2 linked regions of the Arabidopsis thaliana genome follow. The main gene of each other region encodes a partner of the protein of the gene in region 2 in a complex. Each region holds a gene or a part of one and is shown on either strand. Other genes may lie near its edges.

Region 1 (3,755 bases), about 11 Mb from region 2:
ATAACCCAACATAACAAGGTTCAGGAACACAAGGATCAGTCAGAGGTCGGGAACAAAGACAAGACTGCCACTTTACATGTTGCTATCAAACAAGGCAGTGCCGCTACGGTTAATATATTAGTCTGGTCTAGAAGAAACTTAAACCCTGATCAAACAGGTAAAAAAAGAGCTACGATTTCATCCTTCACGCATATGGGCACCGAGTTCACCAAACTGATCATCGGCTTCTACAGTGTTATCTGAGAGACGGATTGCATCAAGCTTCTGCTTCAGGATATCAATGGCATTTAGTACCAGCTGAGAAGCCTTCAATGCACCTGTGGACTCAACAGTGAATACAAAACTATCATGTTTCGGATGGATCTCAATGAGTCCCGGTTTCCCCATTGCTTCAGCTTTCTTGATCACTTCTTCATCGTAAGTGTATGCTTCAGGATCAACCACCACAACCTAAGAAGCAAAGTATTATAATTACAGTTGTGATGATTCAAACAATAGACTGCAAAAGAAATGAGCTAAACGCACTAAACACTTAAAGAAAATTCATACACCACATCACATACATATATTTCAAAGCATGGTAGCCTATAAAGTAGTACAATCATATTGAAGTCTCAAAGCTATAAACTTGTATAGATGTTATTCTTACAGAACATCGAAATTAACCTGTCCGGTGACTGGGTCAATGCCAAACACTTTGGTAGGACTGCTCTCAATCAAGTCAATTTTTTCCTCATCTGTCAAAGTGTTCATCATCTCTTCATTGATAATAATGTCAGGCTCATACATATACGTAACAGTAGCTGCAGGAGACCATTTCGCATGATCTTTCCCAATTCCTTTCCTAGCTAATGCTTTAAGCTTCAACTCTTGTCCCCTGCGTAGTTTCGCAATGATAATTCCCCTGAAACCAAAACAATAACAGTCTAAGAAACTGCAGAAAAAAAAGCCACAGAACTACCAAAAGGAAGACTCATGCAAAGGGCATCTAAAGATGTCAAATTTTGTTTAGCATTGTGTAATATCTAAGCTTAGCAATTCCAATCAATTCATAAAGAACAAATAATCACTACAATGATGAAAAGGGACTTACTTGTGCTCGCTTGAATCAGAAGTAGATGAGTTACTAGTGAAATCAACAGGAGTAACAGTAGGATCAGCACTGTAGAGATCCCTACTAGTAACATCTAGGGTTTGGTCAGTAACACACTTAGCACTAAGGGGAAACTCAACAGAGCAGAACTCGCAATGTTCATCTCCATTACAATCTTCACAATCTTGACAGAACCGCATGCTCATAGCACGCTCGCTAGTGAGAGGGATGAGACTAAGTCGTTGAGCAATGAACTCGTCGTTGAGAACAGAGGAATTAACCTCGATTTTGACGAGATGGATTGCCATGGTGGGGACTTCGGAGATCATTACGCGACGGAGAGCGTTGGCCATTGAAACGTCGGTTTCACGAAGCTCGAACTTGGCGTAGTCATCTTTAAGCTCACGGATCTTCACCGTTGGGAATCTTTGGTAGGTGACACCGTCCATTTCAAAAGCTGTTCCTTCTGACGACTCTGGGACTCTTAGGGTAATGACTTTTCGATTTCTTCGCCGGAGAAGAAGAAGAAATTTGGAGAGAGCAAAGTGAGTGAGAGTGGAAAAAGGTATAAGAAGAACTATAGTAGTTTAAGTTGGGCCTATATGGGCCTATTCTTTTGTTTACTGGGCATTTTCAGGCTTCTCATAACAGTTATTGGGAATGGTCAAAATGTCTACAATGGATTTTCTGTTTACATCAATTCAAATAATGACCCAATGTTATTTTAAGACTTTTTAATCTTTATAATTTGAATTACATAATAATAATTTTGGAAATACAAATATTAAAAAGAATCGAAATTCCATATTTTTAACAGTAACTTGGATTAAAAACATTATATAAAGAGTAAAAAGGATTAAAAATGCATTGGTTCATAAAGAATAATGGTAAATTTGTTGTTTTAATCTTTATATAGTGTTTTTCCAAAATTATTCTTTCTAATTACAATTAAAATTTTTTTACATAATTAATTTTAATGGTAATTATGTGAATGGTTTCGGACAATGTACAAGTTGTACTCATCATTATTCCGCTTATTTTCATAATTATTCCGCTTATTTTCATTGACACAATTAAATCTTGACCTAAATCTAAAAGATTACATATAATATATTTTATCCAACAGAAAATATAAATTATTTTTAAAAATAGAATTTTAGTGGGTTTTGGGGCTTTAAGTGCACTGATCATGTCTGGTCCAAAATTCTAATATTGCTTTCCTTTTTTATTTTTATTTTGCCAAGAAACCAATTCCGGGTTTAACTTCCTTGTAAAACCATCCTTTTCATATATATGATATTTGCAGTTTAGCCAAAAAAAAAAAGTTGAATTTTAATCAACATTTTTAAGCACGACGGTTTCAACTAGTAGTACCATATCGCGGGTTATACCATTACCGGAATTTATTAGAGATTTTCAAAATTTACCTGATTGAAAATTAGCGGATTGTAGTGTTGGAGCCAAACTGGATTAGTGACTGAGTCATCGGGTTTACCGGGCCAACCGCGGTTCCGCTCGAATCTGAATACATTTCCCTCGTCAAAATAAAAAAAGTCAGAGGACGATTGGTCGATGAGAAAAACATTTAATAAAGGAAAAAAAAATGAAAAAACAAATGGGGCCTTTGGAGCGATGTGATGACGTGGCAACCCCCGGAGACTTTCAAATAGCATATTGAGAGTTTTACATGCATGTGAATATCAAGGGTAACATCTAGAGTCATATGAATTGCGCGTGTTATGTCGTTGTTAGTCGTTCATGTTAACAATAATCTACGTATACCGTTTGTGACTTTTAAAACTAAGTTCATGAACCTATTACATATAGATCAAAATCTGGACCATAATTTTATTGGTGTATTGTTAGAAACTTAAAGTTCATATCACTTTCTCTATGTTTCGTGGCCTACTTGCAATTTTTTAGGAATCTTTTGACCATTAGTTTTTTAAACGAGTTTAGGACTTTGATCACTAAGGTAAATCGTTTAAACAATTTGGGATCACTTAATTATTGACATGATTGTATGTTTTGATTGGGCATGTCAAACAGATCTCAATATTTATGTAATTACAAATTATTGCATATTTCAATACATCAATGTCATGGTCTTCACAACGTGCCTGACAAATCCTAGTTGTTTGGATTCCAAATTGTTAATAATTCACAAGAGCTCTCCCATAGGAAGTTTCTTCGATAATTCTGAATATTATATAATACAAAATCACAATTTGGAGTTTAAAGACTTTTCTTCTATTAAACAAAATAGAGTCACGTTTGGAGTTCGTTGATAGTCACAACTTAACAATGACACATTAGAATATTCAAAGTTTTATCTTATTGATCAGTGATTGACATTAAAAGTTGTAATCAAGTTATATAAGCGTTGTAAACTCTTTTTGAATCATCTTCACAAACTAAAAGTCAACATGTATCATATATTTCAGATCTCCGGCGAAGTTATCAAGGGTTTGGGATTGAAGACGAAAATTCTGATAACCATCGTCTTTAGTACCTTACTAATTTTGTCTGTTATGTTACTTTCATTCTCAAACAACTTCAACAATAAACTTTTTGCTGCTACAATCAACGGTAAGAAAGAAAAAAATAAGCATCCATGTTTTGTCATTCATTGTTAGCTCAAAGAATTCTCCTTTTGACCTTT
Region 2 (3,755 bases):
TGGCTAGTTCACGTTTGGAAGTTATGCAATTTTTGAGGATCTTGACAGTTTACTTTCTTTGATTTCAGTTATAATTACTTTTCTGAAATTAAGCTCTAAAAATAAGGATCAAATGGATACTTACCTTAGTTATCAAATCAAAGCAAATTCGATATGGACGAATCAACATCACAATCGTCTTCTTTAGTGTTTTCACCATCTTCCACCTCTAACTTACTTAGACAGCTCCTTTCCACCTGTTTCTTCTCTCTCTGTCTTTCTTTTTTCTCTTTCTTCTTTTATATTCTCCGACAAAAGAAAAAGTACAAGATACCCAGAAAAAGAGTGTAGAAACTACATTTGTTCTTCTTCTCTGTTCTGCTTCGAAATTATGGGTTCCTCTGTTTCTAAAACCGCTTCCTCTGCTTCTGCTTCTTCTATAACATCGATTTTGAATTCACCTCCGGAGACGGAATTCAACATCCCTTCTTCATCGGTACCTAAAGCTTTCACATTTCCGATGCCGTCGATTCATCATCCACCTGCTAAAAAAGGCGACACACACCACTTTGTCTCTCTTACATCGACCACTTACGGTTCTCTTGTTCTCGACGACAGACAAACATTGCCTCACATCTCCGTTTCCGGGAAGAGTAACAAGAAGATGCCTGAAACAGAGGAGGCTCGCGACTCGTTCTCTCCTGACTCAGTGATCAACACATGGGAGCTCATGAACGACCTCGACGACGAATTCGATTCCGCGAATTCCGATACAAGTAAGAGTAATTCCGTCGTAAATTTGGATTCCTTTTCTAAACCCATCACGAATCGAGACGTGGTTATTAATGGGTCTGCGTATGGATCTTACGAAGATGAGGAAGATTGGAGATTATTGCCTTTTAAACCTAAGCAACCTCTGTGGAAACATATGTCTGAAGAATCATTTCTCTCTGATTTAGATCCTAACATTATCTCATCTTACAAAAGAGCACTGTCCTCCAAACAGCTAGGCAAGAACAGTAGCAATGGCCACTCAAATCATTCGGTTTTAGTCAGTTTACCAGAATATGTATCTTCTAGTCCATTGAGTTCTCAGACTTCGGAAAAAGACCAAGAGAAACCAAGATTGCTTGAAAAAGAAGATAACGAGAACAAGATAGTAGTATACTTCACTAGCCTCAGAGGAATTCGAAAGACGTATGAAGATTGTTGTTGCGTTAGAGCGATATTGAGAGGGTTTCAGGTTGCGGTAGAGGAGCGTGACATCTCAATGGACTCCAAATACAGGAAAGAGCTTCAGAATGCACTCGGCGAAGAGAAACCGGTTTGTTTGCCTCAGGTGTTTATAAGAGGCGTCCGCATTGGTGGAATTGAGGAGATCAAGATACTCAACGATGGAGGTGAACTGGCAGAGATGTTAAAAGATTTTCCTGCTTGCGAATCCATTGGAGCCTGCGATAGCTGCGGAGATGCAAGGTTTGTGCCGTGTACTAATTGTGGCGGTAGTACTAAAGTGTTTGAGGAACAAGAAGATGGGTTTAAGAGATGCAATGGATGCAATGAGAATGGATTGGTACGTTGTAACAAGTGTTGTCTTTAGTAATTGGATTCGTTTGAGTGATGTTGTTGTGAAAATGTGAAGAGAAGAAAAAGAATCTAAAGATATAACTTTTGACTTAAGATATGTTTGGTTGGTTGTGTTCTTTGAATGATTTGTTTGTTTTCATGCTGTATATTATAAGAAGTGGCCTAAAGCTCAAACCTAGAATGTCAAGCCTCAATTGTTTCTTCACGTTGATCTTTGTAATTTACATGTTATAAAATGATTTTTTTTTCCAAACAAATACAAACAGGATGAAAATATTTATGTAAACCTAGAACTATTTTATTTCTTTGAAAATAATAGCTAAACCTTTTTTTAATATGGATATGCAAACTGAAAAATTAGAGTTTGCTGTTTTGGCCTTTTGGTCTTGTACAAATTTGTTTTTGTTACATTTTACAGATGACCTGTTACGGCAGTAGCGGTAACGAAAATGTTACTAGGCATTCCACAGTAATTGTCTCTTAACGTCATCTACTATCTTATCTCTTCTAGCTATTTTAGTATGGCTTACCATTTTTCCAAAAACCAGTGTCACTAAAGTTACAGAACAATCGCCTTTGACTACATCACCTGCTTGATCATTGGCTACCATCCAAGTCTGTTTGTAAACTTCATCCGCTGTCACGGTAAAAACGTCACGGGTAAACTGATTATTGAAAACGACAACGGGTCTTATCATCTTCAAACCCCTCACATTACTCAAGCTTTGCTTCCTTCCCCGAGACCGAGAGAGAGAGAGAGACGATGGAGGGGAAAGGGAAAGAGATAGTGGTTGGACATTCCATTAGTAAATCAAGTGTAGAGTGTCACAAATATTACCTGGCACGTCGAACCACCATGGAGATGCTCCGAGACAGAGGATACGATGTCTCCGACGAAGATATTAACCTCTCCCTCCAGCAATTTCGAGCGCTCTATGGGGAACATCCTGACGTAGATCTACTTCGTATCTCAGCCAAACATCGCTTTGATTCTTCGAAAAAGGTAATTGGAATTCGATACGAATACGAATGTGATTTCGATTTCTGATGGTTTTCTTTCTCTGCATGTTGATTTTTCTGCCTAGCTTTTGAAATCTACTTAGTGTTTTCCATTGACTTGATTTAGTTGTATGTAATATGCAATTTGTCTGAAGAAAGCATTCTACTTTTAAAGACTTCCTCTGATTTCCAGCTTGGTTCCTAGTTAGGTTTGGTTTTATCTGATTCCTCTGTTTTTGAAACAGAGACGTTGTTTCTTCTGGCAAAAATCTAAATGGTTCGACTGGTTTAAATTTGGTTAGATAAGAATGGTTAGGTAATTGGGTTTGTTAGCACTAATCAGTTAGTTAATGTGTAATTACCATAGTAATACTTGTAAGGTTAAGAGTTCTAATAAACAATTTTCACATTATTCTCTGTTCTTGGCTTCTCCTATTCAGAGTTAATAATATAGTACTTGGCTTAGGCCGAACTGCAAAAGAACTCCTCAGCGAGGTTGTTTCCTTGAAATTTATTATCGTCGTTTGCTGTTGTCACTGAAGTCACAAGTACATAGCAATTTCTCTGATTTGAATTTCAGATCTCGGTAGTGTTTTGTGGAACTGGTATAGTTAAAGTCAATGCGATGCGCGTCATTGCAGCAGATGTGCTTAGCCGAGAAAATATAACCGGACTGATACTGGTTTTGCAAAGTCATATAACGAACCAAGCTCTTAAAGCCGTTGAACTTTTCTCCTTTAAGGTCGAGTTATTCGAGGTAATATATCTTTATCTTGAGTACCGTGTTAGGTTATGTGTTCCCACATTTGGCTCATAACATCTTGGTTGCGCTTGTTGTGTTGTTAGATTACCGATTTGTTGGTTAACGTAAGCAAACATGTCTTGAGGCCAAAACATCAGGTTCTGAACGATAAAGAGAAGGAATCACTTCTCAAGAAGTTCAGTATTGAGGAGAAACAAGTAAGCAAGTTTTTTGGTATTTGGATCATTACTAGTACTAGTAGCTCTGACTCTGAGCCAGCTTTTCTCTGAATTAGAATGTTTTTTTTGGTTAGCTTCCTCGGTTATCGAGCAAAGACCCGATTGTGCGATACTATGGACTAGAGACAGGGCAAGTCATGAAGGTCACATACAAAGACGAGCTCAGTGAGTCGCATGTTACATACCGATGCGTTTCTTAAACTCGTTTT

Evidence for each region. Proteins that work in one complex are often made in the same cells at the same time.
Region 1: RPB5D (region 2) and NRPE3B share a complex: the UniProt entries of both Arabidopsis thaliana proteins name them as parts of the RNA polymerase IV and V complex.

Annotation. Positions count from the first base shown.
Region 1 is NC_003071.7:6,710,809-6,714,563, reverse strand, and holds the start of NRPE3B (DNA-directed RNA polymerase family protein), read right to left. Parts: upstream 1,670-3,755; 5' UTR 1,543-1,669; coding exon 1,094-1,542; intron 905-1,093; coding exon 667-904; coding exon of another isoform or gene 646-666; exon of another isoform or gene 451-645; coding exon 178-450; 3' UTR 1-177. Other genes in the region: FUT4 (fucosyltransferase 4), read left to right, coding at 3,520-3,682. UniProt on the Arabidopsis thaliana protein: DNA-dependent RNA polymerase catalyzes the transcription of DNA into RNA using the four ribonucleoside triphosphates as substrates.
Region 2 is NC_003071.7:17,226,697-17,230,451, forward strand, and holds the start of RPB5D (RNA polymerase II fifth largest subunit, D), read left to right. Parts: upstream 1-2,063; 5' UTR 2,064-2,329; coding exon 2,330-2,569; intron 2,570-3,145; coding exon 3,146-3,322; intron 3,323-3,411; coding exon 3,412-3,525; coding exon of another isoform or gene 3,526-3,597; exon of another isoform or gene 3,598-3,602; coding exon of another isoform or gene 3,603-3,620; coding exon 3,621-3,746; 3' UTR 3,747-3,755. Other genes in the region: AT2G41330 (Glutaredoxin family protein), read left to right, coding at 371-1,579. UniProt on the Arabidopsis thaliana protein: DNA-dependent RNA polymerase catalyzes the transcription of DNA into RNA using the four ribonucleoside triphosphates as substrates.